Linked DNA regions of Rhinolophus ferrumequinum. The protein of the gene in region 1 interacts with the protein of each later gene in a pairwise test. Links are inferred from orthologs where the notes say so. Each region holds a gene or a part of one and is shown in the gene's direction. Other genes may lie near its edges. The genes, in order: glutathione S-transferase A4 and C13H2orf50.

Region 1 (16,166 bases):
CGTCATTCCCTGTGTCGTTCTAAGCCTGAATAATAAGGCTTCTAGAGCGATTCCTTCACCCATCCAGTATATGTTGATTACTTGCCATATGTAAGGCATTCCGTTAACTTCCTACAATGCTACGCTGAGTAGCATACAGTACCAGCCCTTAAAGTACTCTCGAGATGGAGATGCCATAAAAGGTGAATGTATTTAAGCTATTTTAACAGGGGTCAATTTTTCTGGTTGCGGACAAGAATATTTAGTGTAGAATGAACTTGTAATAGCAAAATAAGTAGGGTAACCTGTGTGCTGATCAACAAAAGAATAGTTCGATGAATTCAGTTGTAGCCATAGTCTAGAGTTTGTCTAGGCTGACATGGAAGGATAACTATTCTCTATTATCAAGTGGAAAAAGCAAATTTCAGAACAAGCTAAACCAATTATACTAAAAGAGAGACAATTCCAGATTTCCCTTTTCTTAAACCAACCATCCTCCATTTGGGTGTGGGCTACAGGAGCAACACTGCGTTTGTCCCCCACCCCCCTCCCTGTTCTGCACCCCCCCCCCCCGTCTTTCTGATAGAGTGGTGTTGTGGAATGCTGTGCTCAGAATTCACTGCTTTTATCCTAATGCTTTCCCCGCCTAAAAATAAAGACCTAATTCTTTATTGTTCTGCGCCACTGTCCTTTACGCCTGTTGGTGTCATGTGCGCATGACTTTGTACTAATGAGCTTTTGCTTTTGCAAATCAGTTGGTTCCGGCTCTACAAGTTCTAGTGGGCTGGCTGGAAGCTATATCTCTTCCTTGCTGAAAAAAGAACTTGATTCTGCTATGCAGAGGGTACACTTGGCACCTATTCCAGACCCTTCCCCTGGTAAGTTTAATTTCGGACTATTCACGAGTTGATTCAATCAATAGTTACTGAACACCTAACTGCTTTGTGGTTGTGGGCATGTGGACCTAGGATCCACCAGTGAAGGAGACAGACCAAACTCCCTGTCCCTTGTGGAACTTATACCTTACAGACAATAAATAAACCAAATAAGATGTGCATAAGAGCTAAGGAGAAAACTCAAGCTGGCAGGAAGTAGGGAATATGAGGGTTGGTGTGTGGCATGTAGACTGGTCAATGTTAGACAGGGTGGCCAGCGAAGTGCTCGCTGGAAAGGAGACACTGAGTAAAGATCTGGAGGAGGTGAATAAGCGAGCCGTGCAGTGTGGCCCAGACTGTTCCAGGCTGGGATTCTGAAGTGCGTGGGCTTCGAGACAGGACGGGCTTGGCGTATTCAACGAAGTGCAAGCGTGGTGGGAGTGGGAGGAGGGGAGTAGGAAGAGGAGGTCAGAGAGGTGATGGGGGCCTGATGGCATGTACCCTGCAGACCCCCGAAAGCAAGTTGTCATTGACTGAGAGACATGAGAACTACGGGAGGGTTTTGAGCAGAAGAGTAAGTGATCTGACTTCATCTTCCAGGTTCGCTCAAGTGCTGGTTGTCACCAGACTGAAAGGGGTGAGGAGGTTGGAAGCAGGGAAACCAATAGGGAGGCTGTTGCAGTTATCCAAGCGAGGACGGGTGCGGGTCTGGGCTGGGTGGTAATAGCGGAGTTGGGCTATATTGGGAAGGTAGAGCCAATAAGATCTGCTGACAAATTACAAGTGGGATATGAGAAAAAGAGGAGTCCGTCAGGAAGGACACCAGTGTTTTTGGCCTGACCAAATGCTCCTCTTGAACTCTCCTTGTCTGATGTTTTTGTCACCAAGATACATTTATCTGTACTTTGTTTTCATGGATCCCCTACCAATCAGGCCCACCTTTCTCTTTCCTGGCAGGTTATTCTTCCCTGAAGGCTGTGAGACCTCACCCTGGGCGACCTTTTTTCCACACCCAGCCGAGAAGCACTCCTGGGTTGATCCCACGGCCTCCAGCCGCCCAGCCAGTGCACGGCCGGACAGACTGGGCTGCTAAGTACGCATCTCGGCGGTGATGGTCATGAAGCCCTTTGTGTCCCCCAGCCAGCTGGTGTTCTACCTGTGAGACACTTTCGGATGGTGTGAAAGCAAACACTTTATAGTTATTCTTCTGATCTAAGACATTTCAATATTCTTTTTTAAAGTTTTTTTTTCAAAATATTGGTTTGAATGTAATACCCTGTTTTTGTACAAAATTATTTTATTCTAAAACTGGGTCCCATTATTTTCTTAAACTGCAGCATTTTGTATATATGGATTATGTTTTAGCATTTTATACAGTCAACTTTGTAACAAACTTTTTAAAGATTAATTGATTTTCTTTCGGGGTTCCAGATAATATTTTATACAGATTTTTAAAAATGTAATAATATTGACGCAGTATTGCAACAGGGGTGCAATTTAAGGCTACATGATAAAGGGTTATTTACTCTGTGTGTGCGGATATTTGTGAAGTGGTTAAATTTTAAATGTGGCGCATTAAGCACCTTGGGCTTTCTTGGACTTTCGTGACATTTCTCAATGTCACGTTATTGGTTTGATTTTTTTGATACCATTGTGCCATTCTAGAAGTACTGTTATGTAATTCACTTTGTTTAGTTTTTGTTCCCCAGGTGACAGAACTCTAAGTAAATAATTTTTGAAATTTTACAACATCCTTCATCATGGTTGGAGCTATCCAAATGAAACCAGGCTTCATCATGCTATGCCATTGCATTCTATTTCTTCCATATTTGAAATCAGATTGTATAAGGACTCAGAAAAGGGAAGCTTTTCAAGCCACAAAAGTCTCCGCATGAAGGTTCATATAGTCAATTAAACTGATATCCCTGCCAAAATGCGTGACCAAAAAGTGAAGTTTCAAAGCAGCAGATTTTTTTTTTTATCATAATAACTGATAGAATTTACATTCAGCTCAGTTGTCCAGGCGAGGAACAGACAGTGAATAATCTTCTGTCACAGCCAAAATCTCAGGGCAGTTTGGGGAGCAGAAAAGATTTATGGCAGAAGTTCCACTTACCCAGGAAGTCAAAGTTAGCATGAGGTTAGTGTCATAGTGTGCCACATTTAAACTCTTAACCCTTGTGTAGTTTCTTTCAACAGTGAGAACTCTATTTGTTGGCCACGGCTGTTCCATTGAGAGGAATGTTTACAGCAGTTTTGAAAATGACAAAGCCAGTTTGGAGACAGAAAAAGACAAAAGGTCCACTCTCATCCACCTCTGTAGGGCACATGTGCCTCCACTCATGGTTACCTGAAAGGCAAGAGGAAAGGTCACCAGCAGAGAACATGATATAATTTCAATAGTGTGTTGACTCATTCTCCCAGGGCTCAAGCTACTCTCATTTGGTTCCCGGTTCCAGGATATAGGTAGTTGAATCATATGAAATTGACATTTTCGTAGGTTAAAATGAATATGGGCACTTTGATGTGGTTCCACTTACCATTACCAAGTTGGCAAATTATTACTTCGATGTCCTATTAATACATTGTAGCCCGAAACAATTACCATAAGAGCCCTAACCTAAAGCAGGGAGTAATTTCTGTTTTGGAGAATCTGATTCAAACATGTACTTGACCAAGCGCTGTGATCACTAGGGGCAGGAGAAAAGCACATAATGGATGTGGGTTTGATAGTTAATATTTTCCCGTTAACAAACTGGCAGCAGAGCTTCAGAAAATAAATATGTATGTGTAAGCACAACTTGAAGCTGAATTCATTTCTGTATTATATTCTCAACTCATTACCTAAAGCAACAGAAAATGTGTTTTCAGAGATGAGTCCTTTACTGAGGTTAATATTTATTTTCCCTTTCTGTATTATGTATACAACGTAAGTTAATCTGTACCTTTACCCAGCTTGCCTGGAAAGCTGGGTTTCAATTGTAAATACCCCTTAGAGAAGCATATGGATTGTGAATACCATATTCTTGACACTCTAGCTTATGTTAAAATCATTACACGTTTTAAAATTGAAAAACCTGGTTACCTGCTTATTACACAATATAAAGTGGTTTTTCTAATACTTTCATAGGGCCCAAATTCAGAAAATATTTCACTTTTCTTTCTCTTTTGTTTTCCTTTGTTTATCAGCAAACAACTTCCCTAGGGAAGCTAAACGTGTTTATTCATATGAAAGTCAAGAAGCTGATGTGCAGTTGAGAAACCTAGAAGACTGAAAAATAAACAATGTAAATTCTAAAGAACTAGCAAAATCCTATAAAGCACTCGTTTTTTCTCCCCGAAATGGGTAAAGGACAATTTGTATATACAAACTGTTTACTATAGAAGGGAATAGTGACCATTTTTGGTTAAGTGAAAATAAAGTGCTACCTGTCATATGTATTTTTTAGTTACTGTAGAATTATTAAACGAACTGCAAGACACCACAATGAATGATGAGTTTAATTGTACCTCCATGACTATACCTCATTTCCAATCAGAAAGCTTTCTGGGACATCAGGAAACGGTACAGGAATGGCTCTCATTCTGTGCCCAAAGGTTCAGTGATGGGGATACATGGAAACTGCAAGGCAACTGCACGGGCACAAAAACCACTGTTGGTGTGATTGCTCATTTTACAATAAAAATCACATGAATTTCTAAGCCCTCACCCAGCTCGCATATGGTAGGATTTAAATAAGAAGAAAATTGATTTTCAGACAATTTTTTTAGACGTAGCTCTTGCCAAAAGGACTATATACACTTAATAAATTGACGCTCTGTCATCTTCTGGAGTTATCAGAAATTGAATATAATCAAAGCAACACATGTAAAACAAAACCATTCTTGTTTTGTCAAGAATTGTTTTAAGTACAACTACCAGTACTGTTGGAGTTCATGGGCACCATCTTTTCTCATCTTTTCTCATGCTGGAAAAAGTAGCATTTCCCTTCCATCAAGCCATTGTTTTGTGCCACTTAGGAGAGAAAAAGAAAGCAGGCTGTATGTTCCAACTCAGCATGACCAAAAGCAATATGTTTATAAGAAAACGTTTGACATACTATTATATATTATTTAAAGCATACTGTAGCAACGTGTTTGTTTAATATATGTGGTTAATTTTTAGAATTATTTTTACAATTTCCAACCAAAGTCCTGTATTTTATATAATTTATTGTGAGGACCTTTTCATGGAAACCATTACAAAGACAAACTGGAGGCTACTATCACGTTAATCTGTATTATCAGTTTCTTATAGACACGGTGCTAATATGAACTTAACATGACCTGAACAGTTTTTCTGATCTCAGCTATCTCAGCACTGGTTGCAGTGTAGTCACTAGATTTGATTACAAGGGAGTAACTGAGAATATAAGTATTTATAAAGCAAATATTCATAATGGTGAGAAGATAGGAGGACAGAAAATCACTTACGCAAGCCCCATCTGAAATAAAATGTTGTTTTTTGAATAGTTCATCCCTCCGGTGTTTAAAAATGTTAACTACATTTGCAAAAATTCTGCTCCAAATAAAGTTACGGTTTAAGAAAAATAGATTTGTGTTCTGTTTTTGTTTTCCTGTTCTTCCTGTTCTTATCTTTTTAATGTTAAAAAGATAACATTAGTATTTCCTAATTTGGAATTTTGATACTTTGTAACTTCTCCTTAATGCAGAAGTGTACACTTAGCAGTATGAAAAGAGTTATCCTGCAATGTATAAATTTTTGTTTGTTTGTTTTTTTTAATTTAGCTTTTAGTAAGTGAGGTGACTAGGATATTAAAAACAAAAATGCAGGTCAAAACTTTCTCTGGCTGATTTCATCATGATTAATGCCTACCTTATGTTTTAAGTTTTCACAACACACTCGTGTACAATCTAAACCTTCAAAGGAAACTCATAACTTCATGAATTACATATAGGATTCCACAGGAAATTCATTTCCCAACATTCTTTGAATCCTTGACAGAATTTTTGTAGGAACACAATTTATCAATCAAACTTGTATTGGTGAACCCCTAAATGAGTCCCTCATCATTAGACCTGACCTGACTGCAATCATCAGCACTTATCTAATCTTTTGGTATATGTGCCCCTTCAGAAGCCCCAAAGTTTCAAACTCTCAACCATCCTTCCTGTTGTAAACACCTGATGTTAAAAGAGGGTCTGACTGCAGTCATTTATAGCTAAGGCTGAATTTAAGCCAATTATTTCCCTCGTCCTGTAGTACTTACATATCAAGCCTCTCTTAAACTGAGATTTGAAGCTCTTGATTTTTGTTGAGGTAATTTTATGTGCTACTGAGTGGGTGGGCAAAGGTTTAAAGGCAGAGAGGACTTCCCAGGTCCTCTGAAAATGTATCAGATTGGTAGGCAGACATTATGAGTAAGACTGTCCCAGACTGAGAATGACTCCAGGAGGCTCCAAAAATAGAATGATTTCTGGGGCTTCCAAGGAATAAAATGAAGGGTACCTGTCAGGATGGCAGAATTATTATAACAGGACTTCTTATTTCTCCACAAGGCTGTGTAATTAATAGAGTCTTAGGATACTGCCTTAGTTTCTCTTTCAGGTAAACAAGATTGCTAGGATGAAGTGACTCCAATTTATTAGGGTGGACATAGGAAGTTGTCATTTTCGTAGGTTAGAAAAAATAGTGGGATATCAGTAATTTGATACAGTTCAGCCAATAAGAAATAAGAAAATGGAGATAAGGCTTTGGCTTACTAACAGTGTTGAATAATAATGTTTGTCTCATCTGGTTCAATAAAAGTGAATCTTTGTAGAAAGATGGGTTGGGAAAAATGAATAAAGAATGATCACTTTCAGCAAGGTTGGAAAATAGGACTTCCTACCTACGTTAAACTGAGTAATATTTGTGTTAGGTCAGAATTAGGAAGATGAAATTGAACATATTTCATTTCTTTTGAAGGGACTTTTCTGACTTTTGGGGTGCCCATCTATTCTTGATTTGCTTCATTTCTTACTTTACATACTTCCTCTGGATAAACTCATCCTTTTGCTGCCAGTTTGATCCATTTCAGTCCTCTCTTCTGATTCATCACTGGCTTATACAACTGTCTACTGGACATTACGAATTGGATGGCTCATAGGAATGAAAGACAAATCTCATTATTATTTCCCCCAATACTTGTCCTCCACTATGCTTTATGGAGCTAGAAACCAAGGCATCATTCATCCATTTTATTCCCTGAATACCTACTCTATGCTAAGCATTATTCTAAGAGTAGGATATACAAAAGTATATTGTTAAAAATATGAAAATTCCTAACGTGGAATTTACATTCTATCATATCTACACAGACAACAAAGTAAAATATAAAGTATGTTAGATGACAATAAATGTTACGAAAAATAGACGAGGGTGGAAAAGAAAATGAGTGTGTGTGTGGGGGGCATCATTTTAGACTTTTTCACTTCCTCCCTTCCCCAGCACCCTTCTGCCTGATTAGTAAATCTTTTACCTTCCACTTCCTTAATATCATCTTTTCTTACCCATCTTCTCCAAACTCACAATGCTACTTTAACTCACAAGGACATTTAATAGGTCTCTCTTTTGCGACCCCACACTGTCCCAATTCATTCTGCACACTTCTGCCGGAGAAATCTATTGAAAATAAAATCTGACCATATTGCTGCAAGTACTCAGCACCACAGGCTCCTCAAGCCAGGTCCTCTCAAGAGCCCCTCTTGGGTGAAAACAATAATCAACAACATCTATAGTCTGAGAAATAGCAGAAGCTGCCTCTAAAACGAAAAGTTTGAAGTCCTTTTGAAAACATTTTTAACTTTAAAATTCATGTGAATTTGGCATTCTATTCTATACTATAATCTTGACAGTTTTAAAACATTTTTTACAGTTTAAACTTGTTAACTAGACAAATTACTTTTTTAGCCCCGTTGAGATCTTAGTTGTGTCTAAACTGTACAAGATGATCGGAAAACAAGATGATCCATGGCGTCAGGGAAGAAAGGAGAAATTAAAAATAAATGTATGCACAAAAAAAAGAAAAAAATTGTTATGTTTAACTTATATATAGCTTTGCCTGTTTTATTTTCTTTTTCTTTAATTTATTGGGGTGACAATTGTTAGTAAAATTACATAGATTTTAATTACATTTGTCAAAAGAAAGGCAGACTGCCACGTGCAGCGCCTCATTTGGATGTGTCTGGAGTCTTGGAAGCTTGACTACCCTACGTTCTCCTACAAATGGACCTTGAGAGCTTGTTTGGAGGTTCTAGCAGGGGAGCGCAGCTACTCGTATACCCTTGACCGAGAAGACGGTCCTCTCCTCTATCGGGGAAGGTCGTCCTCTTCGACCGAGCGCGCAGCTTCGGGAGGGACGCACATGGATCGGTGAGGGAGGAAGGGGACACCCGCCTAGCCAGCCAGATCAGCCGAATCAACCCTGGCGATCAATGGGGTGACAGATGTCGCAGCCAGATCGCCCTCACATCCGAAGGACTAAGACTGTATACGAGCTATATAAAGCCAAACAGAATTATGTCTTTACGCATAGGTCGACTTCTTTTAATTATGTTCTATCTCTAACAAGAATTCTAACTAAGTCCAAACCTAAGTATCACTTCAAAAGTCATTTTCTCCCTGAAAATGCTAAAATTAATGTTAAAACTGACTTGAATGTGAACTTTTTTCATATTATCCAGAATGCCTTGCAGATGGGTGGGTCATGCTAAACATTGTTGTCTCGATTGGTGAAATCTTCCCGGAGCCGCGCCCACCGGTACCGCCTCCTCGTCACTAGCTGGTCTCTTCTCTCAGCTGCTTGCAGCGCGCTTTGTGCGGCTCCTGAGCTCCTAGCGGACTGCAGGTTTGTGTCCCTCCTGCCGCCCCCACCCGCTCTTTCCCTTCTTCTTGTTTCTCCTTCCCTCTATTCCCCCGGCTCCCAGCCTCTTACTCCACCATCCATTCCCCACCATCGCCCCCTTCAGTCCTTCTCTTGTCTCCCACCCTCCTGTCCTTTGCGCCTCCGCCTCCGTCTGGGCAGACGTGGGCCCCTTGGCTGCGACTGGGGTCGTTCTTGGCAGTGTGCGTGTTTTTATTAACCGTCTCTGCGGAGTTTGTTCCATTGATGGAAGGCCGGCTCGGATCCTCCGTGGGCGGGGCCGGGAGGCAGCTCTGCTCACGCCGCGGATCACCCGAGTCTAGTCTCGGGTGGCTGCGTCTGTGGCCTGGGCGCATTCGCAAGACCCGGGGCTCATCTCCCAGCGGGGACTGGGGACGTGCGGGACCCCGGGGCTGCCACCGCAGGCGTGACGATGGACGCACATTTTGCAGACAATAGTAACCCTCGGCCTCTCCCCCTTCCAGTTTCTGTGATAATCTAATATGATGCTGCGTACGAAAGTATGACTACTTGCAGAGGTTCCAGTGGGTGTATAATTAAATTCTCCGCGACCCTCCATTCCTGGCCCCTCCAGGTCGAATTTGAGAAATCTAAGATTTTTAAGGTCAAGTATATGATGATCTAAATCTTTGAAGTACCTTACTACCCAAGCACAAATGTCTTTACAACATACGGCCCCTGCTTCCCAAGATACGGAATAAGAAATCATAAATAGAAACGATATGAAAACCAAGGTTTTTTGGTTTGTTTGTTTGTTTGTTAATGTTTTAAAATGGTGGTATGTTTTTATGGAGTGAGGGAAAACGCAGTAAAAACAAAACAGTTTCCTGTGCCCAAATCGTGAATATTCATTTAGCCCCTGAGCCCTGGGTCGAGGACACGAAATTAAGAGGAGCTGCTGCATTTGTTTTTTTCAGAAAGCCTGAAAGGCCATCATGTCAGAGAAGCCTAAGCTCCACTATCCCAACGGAAGAGGCCGGATGGAAACCGTAAGATGGGTTTTAGCTGCCGCTGGAGTCGAGGTACTCTATGTGCTGTTTCTTCACAGATTTGCCGCACAACTTGGAGACTCTGAGCAAAACACAAATGGCGGAGCCCTGATCTAGTCCTCTCCCACTAACATAACAGACATGCTTCGTTGAGTCAGAGGATTCCTTCCTTTCAAGGGTTTTTTCCTTTATAAAAGGAATGTAGTGGATGGAATTCCATTTTATTTCTGACTTTCACTTCATCATTGGCTTCTGATGTGCCACCAACAAATATTTGTTAATAAGGAGAAAAGAAATGAACCTGAAATTTGCCAGTTACTCCCAGAACTTTTGTTAATTTTGTTAATGTGTCCTGGTCTGCATAACTTTGGCCCAGTGTTTTTGTTTTTGTTCTGTTTTTTTTAGCTTCATATTTATGGAAATGTTCCAGTAGGAACAAAAGTAGAGAAAACATTGGCATGGATTCCATGTACCTTTCACTCAGCTTCAACAATCATTAACTTTATGCTGATTTTGTTTCATTTACGGTATCTACCCATCTTCACTTGTTTTGTGGGAGTATTTTAATGAAAAATCCAAACATCATATGGGTTCATCTGTGAGTACTTCAGTTTTTATCTCTAAAAGATGAGGATTTTAAAACATAACCACAATACCATTATCACATCCAACAAAAAATTAACAATTCCTTATTATCATCTAACAGTCTGATTGTCTCAAACTGGTCTTTTTATAGTTAGTTTATTCCAGTCTGTATCTAAATCAGGCCCACACACTGCATTTGGTTATGTTTCTTTCAGTATTTTTAAAAAATCTATAACATTTTCCTTTGTATTTAAAAAAAATAAACTTTATATTTGGGAATAATTTTAGGTTTATGGAAAACTTACATAATGTAAGGTGTTCCCATGTAACTATCACTCAGTCTCTCCTAATGATGACAATTCATATAACCATGTCACAACTAAGAAATTAACATTGGTGCATGACTAAACTACAGACTATTCTAATTTAATTAGTTTTTCCACTAACATACTTTTATTGTTCCAGGATCCAACAATATATTAGGTCGTTTGTTTTCTTAGTCTTCCTCAATCTGTGACAGTTTCTCAATGTTTCTCAGTGCTTATTTCATGAACTTGACAGTTTTGAAAACTGTTGATCAGGTTTTTTGTAGAATCTTCCTGTTTGGGTTTGTCTGATGTTTTTCTCATGATTAGACCAGAGTTTGGGGTTTGGGGGAAGAACAGCACAGAGGTGAAGCATCCTCATTGCATCATAGGAGGGGTTACGTGCTATTAACGTGAGTTATCACTGGGGCTGTTAATCTTGGTCGCTTGGTTACGGTGATGTCTGCTAGGTTTCTTCTTGTCAAATGACCATTTTCCCTTTTATTCTTTGGAAGCAAATCGTTAAGTTTATTCCACACTCAGGAGGATGGGAATTTAAGCTTCACTTCCTGGAGGGGGGAGTATCTACATTTAGAATTCTTATGTAAGGGAGATTTTCCCCCACCTCCCCAATTTATTTATATATTCAATCATTTATTTATAGCACTATGGACTTCAGCATATTTATTTTTTACTGTGGGTTATAATTCAATAATTACTTGTTCAAAATGTTCCAGCTTTGGCCATTGGCACTCTTCCAGGTTAGCTCTTGTGTCCTTTCCACATATCCTTTTCCCATCACCTATCAATTTCTTACTTTCTGACACAATATGATGGTCCAGGCTCATCTTATATTGTATTTTCCTTGTCCTGGCCCTAGAATCAGGTATTTCTCCAAGGATCCCTGGTCCCTTTTATTAGAAAATGGTATTAACAGCCAAGACCTGGGTGTAGAGTGTCTGCATTTGTTTTAGTGACATTTACTGGTGAAGAAACTGCCCTGTAGAATTTCCCCCATTCTATATTTGGCTGATTTACCCTCATTTTAACATGTTCCTCTCTTCTCTATATTTCCTCACACACAGCTAGTTGGATCCAGAGGTGTGATCGAATCCATGCTCCTTTTCTCTATCTTTAATTTTTGTTTTTCCTGCCAGGCTCCAACAGAGGAATATTGTGAACATATTTCTGTTGTACGCCATCAGGGGTGTGTGATGTCTGACTGTCTCGTTCTCAGTCATGCAGAGCTTGATCCCTGTGTTCTGGTGACGTCAGCCTGATCCACTCATTAGAAAATCTCCCCCATTACCCTTTCAGTTAGTGGTTTTAGCGGCTATTGATCCTCACCATGGGTAGGGATTACAAAATGGTATTTTTCTAGTTTTATCCTTTCACCTGAATTTATTAACTGTAACTCTCTTATAAGAGTAAGTTTTCACCTGTTAACTATTTAATTACCTTGAAGTGCAGCTCATATAGGAAAGGCAAGATAAATGCTTGATTTGGACTCTTTATCAATTTTCTCAATAATGAATTGTTACCCTGACAACCTCCAAAGATGACAAATGAGGGCTACGGAGTTTGGGGTTTTGTTTTTTGTTTGAGTTGGGCTTGGGTTGGGGTTTATTTGCATACCATTATAATTCCCCACACCGTGTTTTCCGATTTTGCTAAATTAGTTGATACCATTTTTATATACAAACCCTGATTTCTGAGTGCTCTTGAGAGACTGGAAGATCTAATGATATTGGGCCCTCATTTCCACATGGCCGCAACTGCTGAATATGAATAAGGACTGCCACTATTGGTGGGTCTTTCTAATTCAACACAGACCCTTCATTCCTTATTGTCTCGGGACAAATTTTCTAATTATGCTAAGCGGAGAGTGAACCATTTCTTGGTCCCACGACCTGAGCCTGATCTGTCAGCTGTCTACCCCTCTATGTGTCTGAGTGTACAAGTTGTTTTTCTAAATAGGCTTTGCAGTGGCTATCTTATTTGTATATGTAATATAATCCTTTATCTCCCCTATTTTCATTCTACCCTGTCCTTCCTACTCCCCTTTGAGTCAATATTCTTGGTTACAGTGATGGAAACCCAACCATAAATAAGTTAAACGAAAAAGAACATGAGTCATGTGGTCCACCTATCCTAAACCAATTACAGTGAGCAGGCAGGTTGGGTAGAATAATTAGCCCAGATTGGACTTGGGGCCCACCCCTTGGACCTGCGCGGCCGGAGCTTGGTTGGCCTCCCTCACTAGGGCTGACCAAGTGGTTTACAGGATCAATTCCCAAAAGGTGGTATGGGGGGGAGGTCCCCGCCCCATTTCTTTGCCAAAAGACAATTTTAGCTAAGTCTGTGCTCATATAGATCCGAAACAATCAGGAGGGATGGGCTGGCAGCCACTGGATGAGTTTGTGATTCCCACTGTCACAGTGTTGGGTTGAGCCTGCCATGTAAAGCACACACATCTGAGTAACTGGGTAACTGAACCTGCTGAAAGGCAGCAGGTCCTAATTCAGGGAGTCACTGTCCTCCATCTGTCACTTCGTTTAAATCCTTAGACATTGGTGTGTGCTGGATTTTGCTTCTTCGCTGTCTGAGGCTCCATTTGCTGAAGACCCCCCCACCCCCCTACCCCTGGTGCAGAAATCCAGTTAAATCCATCCCCCTTGTTAAAAGGGAAATCAATACACGTAAAAGAGAAGGCTTCATAGCCACAAGCTCCTAATTCAGGACTTCTGGATAATTCATTTACAAAAACTGTAAGAGTGTTGAAAAGGGGAGTGCTATGGTGTGGAAGAGGACAGATCTCCAAAGTTAGGAAACAAAGACAACTGACTGTGTTTGTTAGATAGAAACCCAGACGCTGTCTCTACCCTTCCAGCCTTGGGCAGTACTTGGGCTGGGGTTGCCAAGCTCCCTCCAAGCTCTGTCTGGTGATATTTTTCCTTCCCTTTTTGTCCCACCTTCTCATCTCCCCTTCTGGTGCTAGTTTCTTCTTACTGACCAATCGTTTTACAAAGCCTGACACAAAAAGTTTCTCTAATGAGAGCACACATTTTGCATAATGTCCCAAAAGTAAAAAATCAGGACCAGAACCATTGGGAAGGACTTGGGTTTTTTTTTTGGTTTGTTTGTTTGTTGTTGTTTTTTTAATGTACAATTCTGGTCTCTCCCAACTCCTGAATATGAGTCTCTGAGGCCTGGGGTGGGCCTGGAAGCCGACCTACCCCATCCCCCACACTTTCCCATGTGCTTTAAATGGTCATGATGATAAAAGCTTGAGAGGAGTAGTGTGGAGGGAGCACCGCTGCACCACATCTGACCAGCTGGGTGTTTGGACAAATGCCCCAAATATTGTTGGCCCTAAGCACGAGATAGAGCTTCTCCAGGGGCACTCAGTCCCCTCTTCTCAGACCACGAGGACCCTGGTGAGTAGCAAAAGCCAGCCTACAGCCCATATCCCAATTCTCGCCCCCGGTCAGATAGTTAAGATGGAGGAGGGGAGGACTGCCAATTCTGTGCTGGTCAGCTCCACCCCTCCCTTGGATGATTTTGGGGAGCAGCCCAGGGACAGGTATCTGTGGGGAACCATCCAGGGACTTGGTGGGAGGAGGCCTCCTCTTCCTGACATGAAGTTAACATTAGAACATTTTATAATGTCAGGAAAAGAGAAACTTGTTTTCACTGTTTTTCCCCCCAACTTTTTAATTTGAAAACTTTCAAACCTACAGAAAAATTGCAATAGTACAATGGATACCTTTCAACTAAATTCAGTTGTTAACAGTTTGCTACCTTTGCTTTCTCCCTTCCTCTCTCTACTTCTCCCCCCACCCCAATCCTTTGAAAATAAGTTGCAGACATTAGCAGGTATCTTCCTCCTAAGAATAAATAATTATTCTAATAACCACAATATCATTGTCGCAACTAAAAACTAATACTAAGTGTGTAATATCTAATTTGCAATCCTATTGTCCCCAAAATGTCTATCTAATTGTTATATATCTGTTTAGCAGTTATAACTGCCCCCTGCACTACCACCATCCATCCATGATCTAATCAAGATTCAGGCATTTGATTATTAGTTTCTTTTTATCTAGAACAGTACCCGCTTTTTTTTTTTCTTTTCTCTATGCTCTTGACTCTTTTGAGAGTCTAGGCCATACATGTTGCAGAATGTCAAACATTCTGGATGTGCCTGAGTCTCACATCACAGTTAGATCCAAGTTAAATGTTTTTGGTAATGTTTTTACAGTGCTACTTACTGTATCCTTCCTATTGTGTCTCAGCAGCAACCACATGACATCTCGGAGTGTTCCCCAACGGGGAGCTAAGTTTGGCCACTTGGTTGGATAGATGGTGAGATCTCCAGATCTCTCCATTGCAAAGATAGATTTTTCCTTTATCATAATGAAGTAACGTGTGGGGTGATACTTTGAGATTGTGTGAATAGTCTGTGTCTTATAACCCAATGATTTCAGCATCCATTATGATCCTTATCAGGATGAGTTATTACATTGTAGGCTGCAGATGATGATTTTTAAAATTTTATCATTAATTAACGACAATTCTACATTAGTTGGTGATAATTGTGCTTTAAGAAGAGCTTTTCCTTCTCCCTTTTATATGGTGTCATCATTTATGGACACAGGAATTTTTTGTTGGTGTGCATTATAATCCATAATTGACATTACTTTTGATGCTTGAATTGTCCGGGATTTGCCTAGAGAATTCCCCTCAGGTAGGGTCGTAAGTGCCTTGCCTTTGACATCTCTCATTAGTCTTCGAGTACTTCCTTGCTTCCTGACATAGCAGAATCAACCTTTTTTCCTTGGGCCCTGGTTTCTTTTAGTGGGCAGTGATCTTTAGAAACAAAGATGTGGTAAGATGTGCTAAGTGTCCTTTTTCTCTTGTATTTTGAGGCAATTTAAATTGGCGTTTGCAGTCCTGATCCTGTAATGACATGTACCTTTTTCTGGGGGGGGTATCTTTTTTAAAATTTAGTTTGATGAAGAATTTTTAGAAACAAAAGAACAGTTGCAGAAGTTGCAGGATGGTGAGTATGGAAATGAGACAACTGCTGGTAAAACTGATTTTTTTTTTTAATTTGGTGGAAGGGTAAAGATGCAGCTGACATTAAACATTCAGACCAGTATCCTAAAACCAGACAAAGGACTAATAGTTGAAATTGCCAGAAAATTGCTTCTTGGTCAGTAGTTCTATAAGCGCTAGCTGAAGGGAGGGAGCCGTTCCTTCTTCCATCCAAGGAAACAGCCCTACTCCATCCCTTTCTTCTCCCCCAGGCCTCCTCTGACCTCCGTGTGCCCTTCCTTTCCCTCATCATTTCCCTCCTCCTCTTCCTTGCCACATCTCTTTCACCTCCTCCAAATTACCAGAGGCATCAAGGCCTGCTTAAAGCATGAAGATAAAAGTTCCCATGTGCACTGGGCTGCGTTTCTGAAGTAAATACCAAACAAATGAAATCAATGAAAGGCTCCCCTT
Region 2 (16,363 bases), on another chromosome or scaffold:
GTCAGTAGAGTGAAAAACAGGGAAATGCCATCCAGTGTACAAGAATGGGGACAAGGTGAATTCTAGAAACAAACTAACAAATCTGATGAATTTTGAGCAAAATTCCAGGATGGAGAAATTCTGCAATGACTAGTAAAAAAGGAAGGAGCTACTTGCTGGGAGCCAGTGTGCAGACACTGAGGAACGGGTCCCTCTTCATTTTGATAAGGTCATTAGGTTGACAGCCCTGAGGAAGGCATGGAGCCAAATCATCTTGTTTTTAGCAAGAAAATTGTCCACATCGTTCCACAATTTTTTGTAAAAACAGCAGCATCTAGAACTGAACAATGATATACGGCAACTGGTACCCTCAGTGACAATAAGGGAGGCAAATAGTTGGGAAAAATATGAATGAAAAGTTCGGAGAGGCAACGAATAAGATGAAGGACCAATATATGTATATCCAATAGGTTCTGGAAGGAAAAAGCAGAAGAAATGAAGGACAGTCCATATGCAAAAGGTTAGTGAAAGAATCCTCAGACACAGAAACGCAGTCTCAAGCAGGATGTCACATCTCAACACACCACAGTAAAACCACAAAAGATCAAAGACAAAATCTGAAAAGCAACACGAGAGAAAAGGCAAATCCCCTCAGAGCACTGAGCGTCAAGCGGACAGCCACCATAAACCAGAATACCAAAATACAATGAAATATTTATTTCCGAAGTTCTAAGAAAAAATTACTGTGGAAGGAGGACTGTATGCCTAGTGAAAAGATAATTTGAGAATGATGAAAAAATAAAGATATATACAGACCAACAGAAACTAATGAATTTTCCAATACATCTTCAGTAGAGGAAATGTTTCAAAAAGAAGAAAATTGAACCAGAAGGAAGGACTGAAATGAGCAAAGAAAGTTGTAAATATGCCAGGAAAGCTGAACAAGCGGTGGCTAAATAAAAGTTATAATTAACTTGAGGGGTAATAAAACAAGGTAAAACTAAAACATTAGTCAAAAATACCATGTCCAATTGGATGAGTGATTATAGTGAAAGCATTCTAAAATTTCTGTTTTTTATACAAAATGTTTGGGAGGGTAGAAAAATTGCAAAATGTTAGAAACTGAGTAAAGTACATATGTTAAAATTTTAAGGACAACCACTGAAAAATGCAATTTTCAAAGAGCTAAAGAAATGGTGTTTATTTCAAAATAATAAAGGAAATGGAAATTTTTAAAAGCAAACAGAATATCTGAAATAAATTGTAAAAAAAAAATTCAAAATATCAATAATTAAATACAAATGAACTAAACTTGCTAGTAAAAAGAAGTTGTCAGACTAGATTTTTTAAAAAATTTAGGACAGCCTGATATGTTTAAGAGATCCACCCAAAACATAAGGACTCACACTTAAAATAAATGGATGGGGAAAGAAATAGCAGGCAAATATTTACGAAAAGAAAACGAGTTTAGCTTTATTATAGGAAAAAAAGACTGTATTTTATAGGATGTCAAACTCATTACCTAATGATGAAAGGTGATAGAAAGTTATAATACTCTTGAACCTCATACATCGAACAACACAGCCTCAAAACCTACCCTGTCAGAACCCTGTTATCCCATTCACACAGAAAAAGAATTAAGCACACTGAAAAAACAGCGTTGTGAGAATTCGGGGAAATGCTGAAGGTGAAAGTGCATCATTAAAACAGAAAGTGCAACTTAGAGTGGGGAGTAATTATTAACGAGAGAAACACCCGCCACACATCATGGAGAGCAGGCCTGGCCTGAAAGTCTAAATACAGCTGGGCTTTTGGAAGCTTCTGGACCACTCTGAGGTAAAGGATCCTTTGAGAAGCTGATGAAACCTACAGACCCTCTCCCCACCCCAAAACTGCACATCTGCAAAGACCATTACAAATGATATCAGGGGTATCACAAGATGCCCTGAAGGACACTGCTGAAATTTTTCCTCATCTCTGATACGCAGCTGAAGCTGAGGCCCCTGGAATCCAGGTCATGGGAGGAATGTCTAAGGGGACTGTGGGCTCGTCTTGGAGACAAGAGGACTCACTGGGGGTCTGAGAGACATCCCCAACTACTTGGAGGGCCATCATGAGTCTTGTTCTCGGCAGTTCTAAGGAGGCAAAATGCAGACCAAAAAGGGAAGCTCAGAACCTCTAAGAAAGGCATTTCCAGTGGAGAAGGTACCGAGCTCTCTGCAGTGGACATGGTCCAGCGGAGGCAAGCTGAGGAGCCTGCAGAAGGAACCGTTCCCCCCCGGGGGATGCTCCACGCCATGACCTCAAACTCCCCTCCAAGCCCTTGAATTCCTACGGCTCAATCAGGAAAGGATCCTGTGTGAGGCTATTCCTGCCTCTCTCCTTCTTTCCACAAGTGTTTAGTGAGCACCTACTACACACCAGGTTCTAGCTGGAGATGCATCTGTGGTATTTTACCTCTAGTGAGGGAAACAGACAAGGAATAAAATAATACAAGAGTGATAAATGCTAAGACAAAAATAGAGTGAGGAGACAGAGACTGCCAGAGAGCTGGGTGGGGAGCTCGTTATTAGGGGGTTATGAAAAGGATAATTTGTGAGCTGAGACCTGAGACGTAGGAGCCTAGTCCACATGAGGGTGCAACAAGCAGGAAGATGCAAGGTGGGGCCAGCCCGGAGCTGGTGCACAGGTGCAGTCATGAGGCCGAGGGAAAGTTCCATCTGGGTTTCTATGGGGAACAATGATCATGTGTTGGTTTAAATGAGCCCCAAGGCTTTGATAGCTAAGATCTGTATAATCACCGAGAAAGCGAAAATTAGCCCTGCTGGCAGGCACACTGAGATAAACAAGGTTTCCAATAGGACACGATTATGCCAACAGAACAAAAAGAAAAACAAAGAAACCCCAGTGAGACCTTGCTGCAGCTGCAAAAATGACTGACACTCTCTCTTAGGGGTTGCCGGTCACCGGGCTGCTTTCCAAAACGGCCTTCCGTTCCTCAGGGGGAGCACACCCCCTTGCTGTAGCAGGACAAGCAAACCCAGCACTGAGAACTGCAGGAATGTGCTTGGGGCGACACCTCTACTGCAACACACTCATCCTACTAGTAGCCGGCCGTATTCTTACCAGCTGCCAGGCGGTTCGCTAAGAGCTTTATACCTAATTTGTGACATTTCATGTTCGACATAACCTTTACAGTGACTGTTATTATTACCACCACCTTCCGAGGGAATAAGACTTAGACAGGAAACCGTGAAGGCAGCGGAACAGGGACGTAGCCCCAGCCTGCCGCATGGAGGAGTTTGTGTTCTCACAGGTACTGCACAGCTGTCTGCAATGGGGGCGCTGGGAAGTGCCAGTGAGGGCAGGTGCAGATACTCCCATCCAGGTGGGACCCCTAAGTGCTTGCTCTTAGGCTCTGTGTTTTACCACTTTCCGCACATAAAGTCACTAAGTGAATTTCACCCCAATGCAAAATGCAAGAGGCACCCCAGTCTAGGACACTTGTTTCCAGGAGAATGCGTCCCAAGACGCAAACGCAAACACATCCTCCTTCCCAGTCGGCACTGAGCACTCTAATGAGGGAGGCGCCCATCATCCAATCACGCCATTAGACTTCATAACCTGGAGCAAACATCCTCCTGGGTGGTGCAACTGTGACATTTTAAGGGGCTCCCGCAGGGCCAGGCTGGGGTTGTGGAGTCTCCAGGGGCCCCTTCCTGGTGTACAGATCCCCCACCAGTATGTAGATCCAACGTATCTGAAGCAGCTGTTGGCCTTTGCAGTAATCAAAACATGGCTAATATGGGCAAAATAATAAGCAGGAAATTGTGAAAGTTCCATCAGTAAACAAAATATTTTTCTTCCCAGTTTGGTTTTGCAGCCCTGAAGCTAACTCTTGTATACCCCCTACCATTTGCTTCAAATATTACTTCCTCCTCCAAATCACTGTCAGAGACTATGCTTTAACAAGTCTTCCCTCCCTCCCTTGATTAGAAAAGAACAGAAGATTCCCACTTGGAAAGGGAGTAAAGAGCTGTGAGAAGAGGGCCCTAGAACACGCTGTGGGATGGACCTCAAGCTGCACGGCTTTCCAGCCTGGAGATCGCGGGCAAGTCAGTTAAGCTCCCTGGGCCTCTGCTTCTTCATTCATGAATCGGAATGAAGACAAATGAGACAAAAGCCCAAATTCACCCAGCAGGTGAACACTTAGGTGCCCAAAGGCCGCGTCCTGTCACTTGCCACGCAGGATGCATCTCTCCCAGCCTCACCACCCTGCAGACCTGAGAACGCAGACATCCACCTCCTGTCTCTGTCCATCTCTGAAAACCAAGGAGGGGGATTCCCTTCTGCCCTTCCCGCCTTCCCAACGCCAGAGGTGAGAGCTCTCTGTGGCCCTCAGGCGTCTGCTCCTCAGGGTTCAGACCTGGAGAACATCCAAGCCCAATGGCCAAGACCAGGTGACCAGTGGGTGCTGTGCTGCCTCCGCGTTCCCACTGCCCCTCTAACCCCTCCGGATTTAAGTTTCCTCACCTGTAAATGGAGACAATGAGAACCCGCCTGTATCCGTCAGTGTTCTCCCGTGAACAGAAGCAAAAGGATGTGTGCATGCAGAGATGTTACAAGGAACTGACTCATACAGGTGTGGAGGCTGACGAGTCCCAAGATCCACGGTTGGCGAGCCACACACCCAGAGAGCCGACGGGGTAAGTTCTAGTCCCAATGCTCAGGCCCAAGAAGAGCCGATTCTTTAGCTCAAGTCCAAAGGTTGGAGAAGACCAGCATGCCAGCTCAGCACCCAGGCAGGAAGAGGTCCCTCTTACTCAACCTTTCTGTTCTAGTCAGGTCCTCAGCTGACGGACCAAGGCCCACCTGCATGGGGGGGCGCCATTTGCTTTACTCAGTCCACCAAGTGAAATGTGAACCTCACCCAGAGACACCCCAGACACAGCCGGGACGATGTGTAACCAAATGGCTGGGCACCGCACGGCCCAGTCAATGACACATAGAACTAACCATCACACCACCTCCTTCAGTTGTTGTGAGGGTTACATAAAACATTCAAGTACCAACAGTCGTACCCGGAGGTGGTACCCAGCACAGCAGGACACTGGTCTTTGGATCCCCAGTTTGCCCAAAGCGGGACATGGCGATCTGAATGAGCCTGATCGTCTTCTCCATGAGTTGTGGAGGGTTATGTCAACATGCCACCTCGCTCAGGCAGCCTGCTTCACCCCAGCCCACCCTCTGACTTCCTGAAGCTTTCTCCTGCCCCATACCTGGGCCGAGGGATCCTTGAGTTATAGTGGAAATTTCCATCCTGTCTCCACATCTAGTCTGAATTGCTACCAGCTCTTGTCCACACCTGAAACTGCTTGCGCCCCTCGTACCACCAAGCAACGACCCTTCTCCCCACCCACCCTTGCAAGCTCTTGCCAACTGTCCTAAATGTGAGGAGCCATTTATCAAAGGCTCTTCAGGTGCCAGCCTCTAGGTGGGGTACTTTTGTCACCTGTGTTGTTTCATTTCATTGTCACGCATCGCATCGTGATGCGTTTCAGTAGGAATCTCTTGTAGGGAGGGGACCACTGAAGAAAACACTGTCATGTGCTGCTTTGTGACAGCGAGTGCGGGCTTTCGAGTAGGAGAAGCTGAGGATGTAGATGGCGGACATCCCTGACGGAGGCTGAGCCCTCGGCCCTGGCCTGCCCCACACCAGGCGGAGGCAGCACCTGCCCTCCCAGGCCCTCACGGGGTGCACAGCTATAAGCAGCTATCTATCCCCGTCGCAACCAAATCATCCGGGGCACCCACACCACCAAGCACTTCAGTCAGACCTGCCAGTCACAGCACTTCCGGGCCGGCCTCCTCCTGCCACTGCAGCCTCACCTGAGGGTCAGGTGGCTGACGCCATGGTCACCCCCTGCCCCAGCAAGACAGGGCAGCACCAAACGGAGGTCTCCCGGTTTGGGGGGACTCCTACTCTTTCTCCTGCCTGCCTGGCCCAGAACCCACATGGCAGGCAGGCCATGGGCCAGGTGTGGGGCTCCCCAGACAGACAGAAGGACAGGGGACAAACAGCCAGGGTTACAACTCTATGGGCTAGGGTCTCCTTGGACATGCAAACTGAGAGCTCCTGCACCAGAGGAAGGAGGTGCTCACCTTCGGGGCTGGTCAGAGAGGGTGGCACCTTCCTTTGGCCTTGAACCGTGTGAACACCAGAACCTCCCCCTGCCGGCTACAGCCCCAAAACCAACCTCCTCTGCCCCGTGAAGCCCTCCCAGGCTCCGCCCTCCGCCACCCACCCAGCACCCTATGCTGCCACCAAAGGCTGATTCTCCCTGAATGCCCCCAGCAACTCGAGCTCCGTGGCCAGCACAGCCTCAGTCAGAGACCACCTAGGAGACCACCAGCCGCTGCCACAACCATCTGGGCCAGCTCAGCCTGGCAGGGCTCAGCCTCACCTGCTGCCTAATGTTTAAAGTATGTCACGCTGCCCAGATCCACCGCCACCTAAGGACTTTTTGCCTAGCGCCTGTTTCCACCAGGCCCTGCTGTGTTCCTTCATGGACACCTTCTCCCAACGTGACACTCATTTTCTGCCTTAAATCCGAAATGGCCATAGCGCCTGGCTCCTTTCGGATGCTTTGAGATGGAGCCGTAACTGCTGATTTCCGACTGGATGGAAGATGCAAAGCTACAGTCTGCCCCCTGCTGCCCAGGACGTGTGTTGCGACCATTCCCAATTCACTTCTACTTTTTCCTAAAATGCATTTCGCTACAGAAAAAATAAAAATGATGCATCAGAACATTTTTTCCCAATACTTAAAGTGTCCCCACCTCCCAGAAATCCAGAGCCTTCAGAATATAAACCAGTGAGTGTATAATGTAGGTAGCTGAAGTAAAACTGTTTACGTGGGATGCTTGTCCTCTTCAGATAATAGTCTAAGAGACAAGGAATGGCAGGCAGCAGGGCTTGGGTTCTGGCACCGCATGTCCTGCCCGTGGGATCAGTGAGGGTTGTGGTTTTCCTGAGCCCCCAGGTTCTGCACCTAAATCCAGATAGGACCAGCCCCCCCAAGGCTGTCATACTTCAACAAGAAATGTACGTGAGCACACTCTCAAACCTGAAGAGTGATACGACTGCTATTTTTAATGTAGTTGTAGTTATCTATTAGGGAAGACTTACATTACCTCCCAGAGGCTAGATTGGTATTGAAAACGTGGAGGCTAATTGCTGAAAATTATCCAGGAGGCTCCTGGGGAACCAATGGGGAGTAGTTAATTGTTAGCAGCCACGCCACAGCCCCGCTGTTGGCAGAAAGCACGGGCCCCCGACGGGAGGCCTGAGTGGGTTCCACTGCCAGGCCCTGCAGTTGTTGCCTATGGCCTTGGACGAGACTCTCAGCCTCTTGAAGCTTTTGTTCGCTCATCCATAAAACGGAGCTAACACTATTCATTTAATGAAATGAAATAATGGTTGAGGATAACATTCGTAAAATGCGTGGCACACAGTAGGGGCTGAATACGAGATAGTTTTATCCACAGTATATCCCAGAAGAAGTCTGAATCCATATAATCTGTCATGAGTTGAATCATTCCACCCTCACCCCATATGGTGAAGTCCTAACCCCTAATACCCCGGAGTGTGGCCTCATGTGGAAAGAGTCCTTGCAGATGTAATTAGTTCAGATGAGGTCACACTGGAGTAAGATGGGCCCTACCGGTGTCCTTATAAAAAGACGGCCGTGTGAAGACAGAGACACACAGACGGAGGCCATGTGGTGGTGAAGGCAGAGAGTGGTGTGGGCGGTCACAGTCCGAGGGGTGCCGCATTGCCCAGCAGCCACCAGAGCCGGGAAGAGACAAAGAAGTCCTGTCCTCCAGGTTTCACAGGAAGCCTGGCCTGCTGACACCTTGATTCCAGATGTGTAAGCAACCAAGCTTCCAGATAATCTTCTTCAATTACCCCTGAACCCTTACAAATGGACAGACCCACTGATACTGATGGAGTGTCCACTCCACAGCCAGGGCAGTTTCCCTCAGGACTGTCCTCGCTGTGCTGGGGGCGCAGACACCAAAGAGAGACAATGACTACCGGAAAAGCCTGCTCCTGGGCCCCAGGGGTCCCGCACAGTTCATTTTTTCTGAGAAAACTGCAGTCACTGAACGCCAGCCTGTCTCAGCCCAGCTCCGGGAGGAAGAACAGGACAGACAGAGTCCCAGCACCACAGCTTCTGCTCTTAGGCTAATGTCCAGGAGGCCACACTCCCTCAGCCCCTTCCTCCTAGCTGACAGCTCTTTGTGGCCCGGTGGCGCTCACCCACGGTCCTCCAGCCCAGCCATTTGCCCAAGCCCAGTGTGGGCTATACCACTTCCTCTACATGGAACATGGCCACAGTCCTCTCTCCTGCGTCTTGTCCCCTGCCAGGTGCTTCTTTACCCTGCAATGTCCTGTGGGCTTACAGCCGGCAGTGTCTCCAGTTGTGCACACAGCCGCCAGCCTCAGTGCTTTGCCTCTTCCCCCAACTTCCCCCAAATACCAGGCTCTCTCTTGTATCCAAGCTTTTGCTCCACCTGGCAAATCCTTTTCATCTGTGAAGACCCAACTCCTTAGTGCCTCTTACATGAAAGCAGAATCCAGAACAGGCACCCAGGGCTGGAGCACAGTGTGAGCTCGGGTGTGTTGGCTGAACTTGTCCCCACACCCTAGGGCACCTTGTACATACCTCTGTGTCCTCTGTGCGTCTATTTCCCAGCTATGCAGAGAAGTACCACGTCCAGCTGGATTGGCCACAGAAAACTTTCATGGAAAGAGCTGGAATCTGCCAACACAAACAGTGCATCGCAAGAAGCCAAGAGACCTGGCAGCTGGGGCACAAGCCATGAGCGGGTGTCAGAGGAGGTCAGCTGAGCCAGTACAGGAGCGGCCTGGGGCCGCAGAGCGAACTCGGGCTGCCTGGGTCAGAGCAGCAGCAGCCACAGGTTCTGAACATGACTCCTCCCCTCAGGTCCTCATTGCGTCCTTCAGACCGTCTAAAGTTAGGCCAAGCTTCAGTGAGTAGCTGAGTGACCTTGAGCTGTCACTTACTCTTGCTGCTGAGGGCCTCAGTTTCTCCATCTATAGAATGGGACTGGAAATTCTTGCTGTGGATGGTTGGGAGGGTCCCGCAAGAGAAAGGGTGGTGCTTTGTAAACCATCCAGGTTCACACAGAAAGAACAGATTAACTAATCATGCAGTGTCACTGATTTTCCCTCACCTGGCATACACTAGGACTGCTTCTATCATCCCTAGAGAGAAGCATCATGTGAAAGCACTCCCACCATCTCATGTAGCAGTGGGGTGGATCAGGATTATTATTGCCCTTTCACGTGCCCAAAAGGACAGGGTGCCCAAGGTCACGTGCCCAAGGTCAGGTTACAATGACAGAAACTGAGTCCAATCCCCACGTCCTCTCCGGGAGCCAGGTCTTCCCTCCCTGCCCCAGAAGTCAGGCCTTTGGCCCCCTTCCCCTCCCTCATGCTGTATTGAAGTCTCTAGCGAGGGGTGCAGGGAGCAGAGCTGTGGGGCAGCTGAGCTGGACATGGCACAGACCCAGGAACTTTCTCCACCCCACCCTCACCCTGGGGCTCAGATGTGCCAGACCAAGGCACACACATACACCGCAGCTCCCGCCTTCCTGGGCACAGTGGGGAGCTGCCCTGTTCCCAGGGCAACAGTCAACACAAGTAGGAGCTTGAAACTCAACTGGGCTCGATTACTCTCCCATCCTGGAAGGCCTGATCCTCATAGGCCACGCTGAGCTCAGGGTCCAGCGGGGCAGTGAGGAGGACCCCTGCACGGGCTCTCCTGGGGTTAGGAGGGAGGGTTATCCTGGGAGAGGTCTGAGCTCACACACACACACACACACACACACACACACACACACACACACGTCTCCATGGAGGGCCACTCCACCTCTGGGCTCCAGAAAACCACATCAGCTGGGTACCGACTGCCCTCCACCAGGCCACCAACCTTAGTCTCCCCTACTGCCCGGGGTGGCCCCATGGTGGCCAGGGGACGCGCTCGCGGCCTGGCCCTGGGGGCTGATGGTGTGCAGCAGGACCAGCTGTGGAGAGAACTCCTGGAGGCCGAGAGGCGGAGCCAGCAGCGCTGGTGAGTGCCCTGCCCTGCCTGCCCTCTTCCCCTGCCCTCCAGTCTGACTCAGGGTCTAGGAAGCTTCTGGAGAAAGAGAAACCTGAGGGTGAGAGGGAAGCCAGGCAAAGTGCATTGATGGGAAAGTGCTGGAGCCAAAGGGCAGAGAGCACTGAGGTGGGGAGCGGGGGAGGGGAGGTGAGAGAGCCCAGCCTGGGCCAGACACTTAGAGAGTGGGAGGGAGAGAGGCAGGGCTCCGGTAAGGGGCAGTGCAGCCCTCCCGGTTCATTCTGGAATCCCAGCACAGACTGCAGGGGGGCGACCAGGAAGCTGGGACAGCAGTCCTTCATTCACTCAATCCAAAAAGTCCCAGAAGAGCCGCTCTGTGGGGCTGCAAAGGGGACAAAACATGCCTGATCCCAGCTCCATGGAGCCTTCCTTCTCAGGACCGAGTAGCAATAAGCAAGTAGAGAAACAGCTAAAAGACTGGAGACTCTAGGCCATGGGGTCTGGGGCAGAGGCTATGTTTATTATGAGCGTTATACAATTGTTTGACTTTTCACACAAACAGATTAAAATAAAAATGAAATTACCAGTGCCAGTAATGCCAGTTTCCTCACTGTCGCTCCCTGTTAGTCCTAAACCTCCCCACCTTCTTCTTTTTTACCAAGGTTTGAGGAAGTGAGAACTGGCCCTCACACGCTACTTGGGGATCCCCACAGTGGCCCGCTGAGGAAGCAGAGGTACATGGAGACAGGGCATCACTGCTCTCCTTCCGACTCTGCTCTACCCTCCAGCATTATAGTTTCCACTCTAGGACAAGCCACTGATTATTGAAATGTTTCTTCATTTTATACGATGTAGCATAAATAAACACTCAGTAGATACATGGCATTCGTTTCACCTAAAAGTGATGTTAATTCCTCCATGATGGAATAAATGTGTTAGTGGCATCAGCTTATTAACTTGACACAGAAAAGCCATTTGTGAAAATGTCACAGGAAGAACTCACGTGTCTAACGTGTGTTCCTTTCCAGGGCTCAAAATTGGAGTTTCCTGAAAGACCATGACCTCATGGTAAGACATACTTGCACTTGGAATGTGTATTCACTCATTTAACATTTGTCTCTACCGTGTGATGGATGCTGGAGCGAACAGAGACAGATAAAATAGTCTTGTTCCAAGAAGCTTAGAGTCTGGTGGGAAAGAAAATACTGACGTGGAGCATGTAGAAATTACTTCTTCCCAGTGTTTCTTGACTTTGTTAAGATGTACGTGCTGGAACTTTATCCCCCAGGTGAGGACCGCAGTGCAGAGTGACGTGTGGGGTGCCCCCTGTGGAGAATGAGTTTGGGAGAAATACTTTGCAAACTCATTCCTGCCTCTAGTAGCACCACCTCTAATCAATCCTACTTGAGTAATTTTCCTAAACTGCAAAACTGATCATCTCTCTCCCCGGCTGAAAATCCTTCAGTAAATCTGCAGTTTTCAGCCTGGTTTACAACACATCTTGTGATCTAACCCCTCCTCCATTGCTCACCCCACACTGACCAACCCACACTCTTATCCGTGCCTTTGTGCGTGCTGTTCCCCTCCTGAAACGCCCTTCCCACCTTGTCAGCCTGATGGACTCTTATTCGTCCTTCAGGTCCCCACTCAGGTGCCTCCCCTTCTGAGAAATTTCCCCGTCTTGAGTGGGCTTGAGCAGATCACTCTGTGCTTCTGACTTTACTCACCAGCATATATGTAACCCTTTCCTTTGGTAAAGCATGTCATGTTGCGATGATCGATTTCACCTGGTTGTGGGCTCTCTAAGAGAAAGGACAACAGTGACTTCATCCCCGCACCTCCACCTCCAAGCACCTGGTCAGTAAAATATCACTCAGTTTGTGTTGGATGAATGAGCAAATGGGACAATGAATCCGGCCCTAAGAACAATGGTCACAGAACCACCTGGAAAATGAGCAGGGTAGTGAGTCAACCAAGGTGGTGGTGGCCACGCTGACACCAACATTGTGTGGTTTAGGGAAGGTGTCACGTCTTCATTCTGGCCTTGCTGGATTGCTGTCTTCCCCCAGATAGAAAATTTAGTTCGTGGGACCTGAAATCCTACACTGAGCTCCTGGTCCGGGCTTCGTCCAGCCTACTGAGTCCTTCCCTGCCAAGAGCGATGTAGCAACCTGAGCACTGAAACCTGCATCACACCCAGCTGTGGGGCCACCTCAGCACGGACTTTCCCAAGTAAAAGCCAGGATCTCATTACAAACTGGTCCTGTCACTTCTATTCCACACGAAGAAGCAAAGTTAACCATAAACAGGGGTAGGGAGGGCTGAGGATTTTGCCCCACACATCGGATTGTTCTGAATCCCTACATTTACTGACGGATTCATCCATCAGTTACAGAAGTCACTAGATAAATAACCTGCAGCTTATTCATAGAAGTTGCAAGGAGAATGAGTGCACTGCAACACACACACAAACGTGGACGAATCTCGCCAATGTCCATGAGAGAAAGCAGCCAGAGGAGGCACGATCCCATTAAGACAAAGTTCAAAACCAGGCCAAACCACAGCCTGTGGTGTCAGAGGTGGAAATCAGGTCGCCTGGGGGGTGGAGGTGTTCGGGGTGGAGGCTGATCAAGTTCTAGCTCCTGGTGCAGAGAGGCTACACAGGCAGGCTCGCTGTGCGACAGGTGATGGAGTACAGTTATGATTTGTGCACTTTTCTGTGTGTATGCTAGACTTGAAGTAAAACTTCACTGAAAAGAACCAACCACATCTATGGCACTGCCACCGTATGTGAAGCAGCATGTGACATGAACTGTCCCCTCTCCTCAGGGCAATAAGAAGGAACCTGAGAAGCTGCCGGAGCACGTGCCTTTCTTTTCTGACACTGTCCCCAATTCCACGAACCAGGTTGTGGGCAGCAGGGTGGACACGCCCCTGGGGAAAACCCTCATCAGCCTGGACTTCTTCTTCATGGAAGGAGTCCGGAAGAAGAAGCTGGAAGATGAGCTGCAGCCCATCTAGGAGGAGGAGGGCTCTCAGGGCTGCCCCAGGTGGGTGTGTGAGTGGAGCAGGAAGCCTGCAGCTGGCCTGGCACCATGGCCCCAGTCAGCGTCCCACACGTGTCAGCCAGGGTTTATTCTCCTTGCGCCCCACACAGCCTCTAAGTGGGCTCCATTGGCTCATTTTTATCCAGGAGTTTAGGGGACTCAAGAAACCTGCCCGGCAAGGTGGGGATTCCCTCTGAGGGGCCCATGAGGGAGCCCTGCATTGTGGTCAGGATATTGACTGCCTGGGTTCGAACTGTGCTCCTGACTCAGCAGCTGTGCAATGTTGGGCAGGTTGTGGGAACCCTCTGTGCCTCCATTTCCCATCTGTAAAATGGGTATTTGTTTTCTATCGCTGCTGTAACAAATGACCACAAACTGAGTGATTTCAAACAACACATATGCATTATCTTAGGGCTCTAGATATCCGAAATCCAAAATGTGTCACACTGGGCGAAAATCAACGTGTCAGCAGGGCTGTGTTCTTCTCTGGAGGCTCAAAGCACCTGTTTCCTCACCTTTTCCAGCTTCTAGAGGCTGTCCACTTTCCTTGGCCGGTGGCCCCCTACATCTGCAAAGGCAGCATCACAGCATTTCCAACCCGAGAGGACCTGAGATGATGCGGTGCCGGCCGCCCCTGGGAACCTGGTATCTGGGTTCACTCCGCATCCAGGATCCCATCTCACACCTGACTCACCGTGCTCGTTCCCCTCACCAGGCGACGATGGTCCACAGCTGTAAAGTTGGGGAGGGGAGACTCCAAGGACATCACAGCTCCAGATTCCGTCCTCTGAGCGTGCAGTGAGTACCGCATCACACAGGTTTGCAGCTCTTACACAGTGCAGTAGTTGGCTACGGTCCCCACAACAGGAGGGGGGCTGGGACCCAGGCTGAAGCAGCTCTCTCCTAAGGCTGCTCCTGCGGCCACCTCCAGGACAAACAGCCCAGACAGGCAGAGAGAAGGGGGAGCCACCGCCATGGAGCAGAACCAGGAACGTCCAACCAGGGTGATCTCAAATTGGGAACAGCCTCCTTGCTTCAACAGATCCGTGGAATGACATCATGAAAGTCAAACACCTGGCACACAGCAGGCATCGCACATTCTGGATGCTTCTGTAGCTGTCACTGCGGTTATCGATAAGCTTTTGCTGCTTGTCAGAGAGCTCTTCACTTCCCTATTTTGCTTTTCCTACGAGCAGTAATTGTCCACTGATTCGTAATCTAACCCGGGCAGAGGCCACCGTGATTCCCATGGCATGTGTGACAGCAGGGGTATCTGAGAACTAGCTGAGTTTACTGAAACCCTGGAGGGACATTCAGTCAACGGCCTAGATTTCCCTTGAAAATAACAGCTGAAATCACACCTCAGCCTACCTGAGACTCAGAGATGCTCCTCTTTTGTGTTCCCGGCATCTTGCCTGATGCATCCTTCTCTTCAGAGCCGTCTTCCCCTCCCTGCCTGATGCCGGAACACGTGTGCTCCCTTTCCTCTCCCTGTCCTCAGACACTACAGGACAGAGTCCAAAACTCATGAACAAAGGTCCACGGCCAAGAACAGCTGATTCCTTGTGTTGGCAGCAGAGTTGGGAGAGGCAGGGAGAGAGGCCAGGGAGGGCAGGAGAGCGCGCTTTGCCCTCCGTCGTCACAGACAGCCAACCTGGTAGCCAGCAGCTCCCTGGCAGTCTTTGCCAGACTTCCTGCAGTCTTGGCCCTCAGTGCCAGCCCTTAGCCCTGTAGCTCAGACACCCTTTCTTCTTCAGGGTCCCTGGCCCTCTCCTGCTCCCACATCTTCTGAGCACTGGGAGCCCTGCTGTCTGGTCTGAGTGACAGAGCCCATGGAGCTCCAAGGACAGAGCGGTGGGAAACCAGGGCTGTGCTGTCAGAGACTTCAGAGCAAACTCACACAGACCCTGCGGTGGCCTGAGCCCTCCACCTCCAGCTTTGACACCCAAACATATCAGAACAACCCGTTAGACTGGATTTTCCCTCCACATTTCCCACCGCTCCTTACTATCCCGTAAGGAATAACAAACAGAAATCATATCTTCTGACCAAAGCATCCCAGGTCCTAGTTGCAATGCCCAATGGTCTCTGTGCCCCATGCTGAGGGCACGGCAACGTGAAGCCAGAGCTGTGACAGTCGGCCAACAGTGAGGCTGGATGTGGCAGACACCCCTGCGGTCGCACTTCTCTGCTTAGTTCCTGCCAAGCAGGGGCACCCCCAGGAGACTCATGAGGCAGAAGGAGAAACGCCAGGGTCCTTCTTGGAGCACTGAGGACGCAGTGGTGGGACTTTCTGGGACAGCTGGGCCTGGCTGCTGTGTCTGTCAGTCCCCAGCTGGGCAGAGGTGGTGGCAGCTTCCTGCATGGGAGGCTTTCCTGGCGATGACAACAGTGGTGGAGGTGGCAACAGCAGCTCCCTCCCAGGGCAATTGTTCAGTGAGGTTCTGGAAGTTGTTCCTTGGAGATGTTTCCTAAAATCTGCTTCCTCATCCTTCTGGTGATTCAGCCTAATGTCTGGTAATAATAATGAAGCTAACTAAAGAAGAAGATTCCGTGGTCTGTAATCAAACCCTCACCAATACACTCTTCTTGTATACATTCCGGAACATTCCATTGTCTCCGGGAGGCCATGTCTGGGTGGCCTACTCAGGACTCATTTTGAATTTACCATAGCGAGCTCCCTCCCAGGCATGGACATCTGAGACCCAAAGAAGAGTAGTGTGGACTCTTACATTCCCAAGGGCTGTGGTGAAAGTGGGGTGGCCTGCTCTTAAGGCCACTCAATTTTTATAAGATGATGCAACGGAATCTTCAGAGCAGCCAACAGTAAAGACACTCCTGCACTTAGCCATTTGGCTGTCTTTGAAGATTAGCTGCATTTTAGATCGATGTTAGGAGCAGCATTTCAAACTCACTGTGGTCCATTATGTACATGGCAAAAGTTTGGCCAAGAGACTCGGTATTGACGAAGGGGTCCCATAAGGAATGCAGTCATGCTTCTCAGCTTGGCGTGCATGCAAATTTGGGGGGTTGGTAAAAGGAAGAGTCTGGTTCAGCATGTGTGTGTGTGATTGTCTTACATGTGTAATGTATGTGAGTATATACAGAGTATGTGTGCGTACATATATATATATATGACTGAATTAGGTCCTCCTCAGATTCATATGCTAAAGTCCTAACCCCCAAGGT

What was found.
Region 2: the proteins of glutathione S-transferase A4 (region 1) and C13H2orf50 interact in binary tests that used the Homo sapiens proteins (3 or more experiments, as listed by UniProt). The two-hybrid records come from large-scale screens. The link is inferred for Rhinolophus ferrumequinum from reciprocal best matches to the Homo sapiens genes GSTA4 and CIMIP5.

What each region holds. Positions count from the first base shown.
Region 1 is NC_046286.1:20,675,466-20,691,631, reverse strand, and holds the start of glutathione S-transferase A4, read left to right. Parts: upstream 1-8,641; 5' UTR 8,642-8,743; intron 8,744-9,696; 5' UTR 9,697-9,714; coding exon 9,715-9,801; intron 9,802-15,668; coding exon 15,669-15,720; intron 15,721-16,166. Other genes in the region: CILK1 (serine/threonine-protein kinase ICK), read left to right, coding at 735-857, 1,812-1,966. UniProt on the Homo sapiens protein: Conjugation of reduced glutathione to a wide number of exogenous and endogenous hydrophobic electrophiles. This isozyme has a high catalytic efficiency with 4-hydroxyalkenals such as 4-hydroxynonenal (4-HNE).
Region 2 is NC_046296.1:64,958,319-64,974,681, reverse strand, and holds C13H2orf50 (uncharacterized protein C2orf50 homolog), read left to right. Parts: upstream 1-9,724; 5' UTR 9,725-9,921; coding exon 9,922-10,139; intron 10,140-11,155; coding exon 11,156-11,195; intron 11,196-12,956; coding exon 12,957-13,148; 3' UTR 13,149-13,177; intron 13,178-13,698; 3' UTR 13,699-13,830; downstream 13,831-16,363.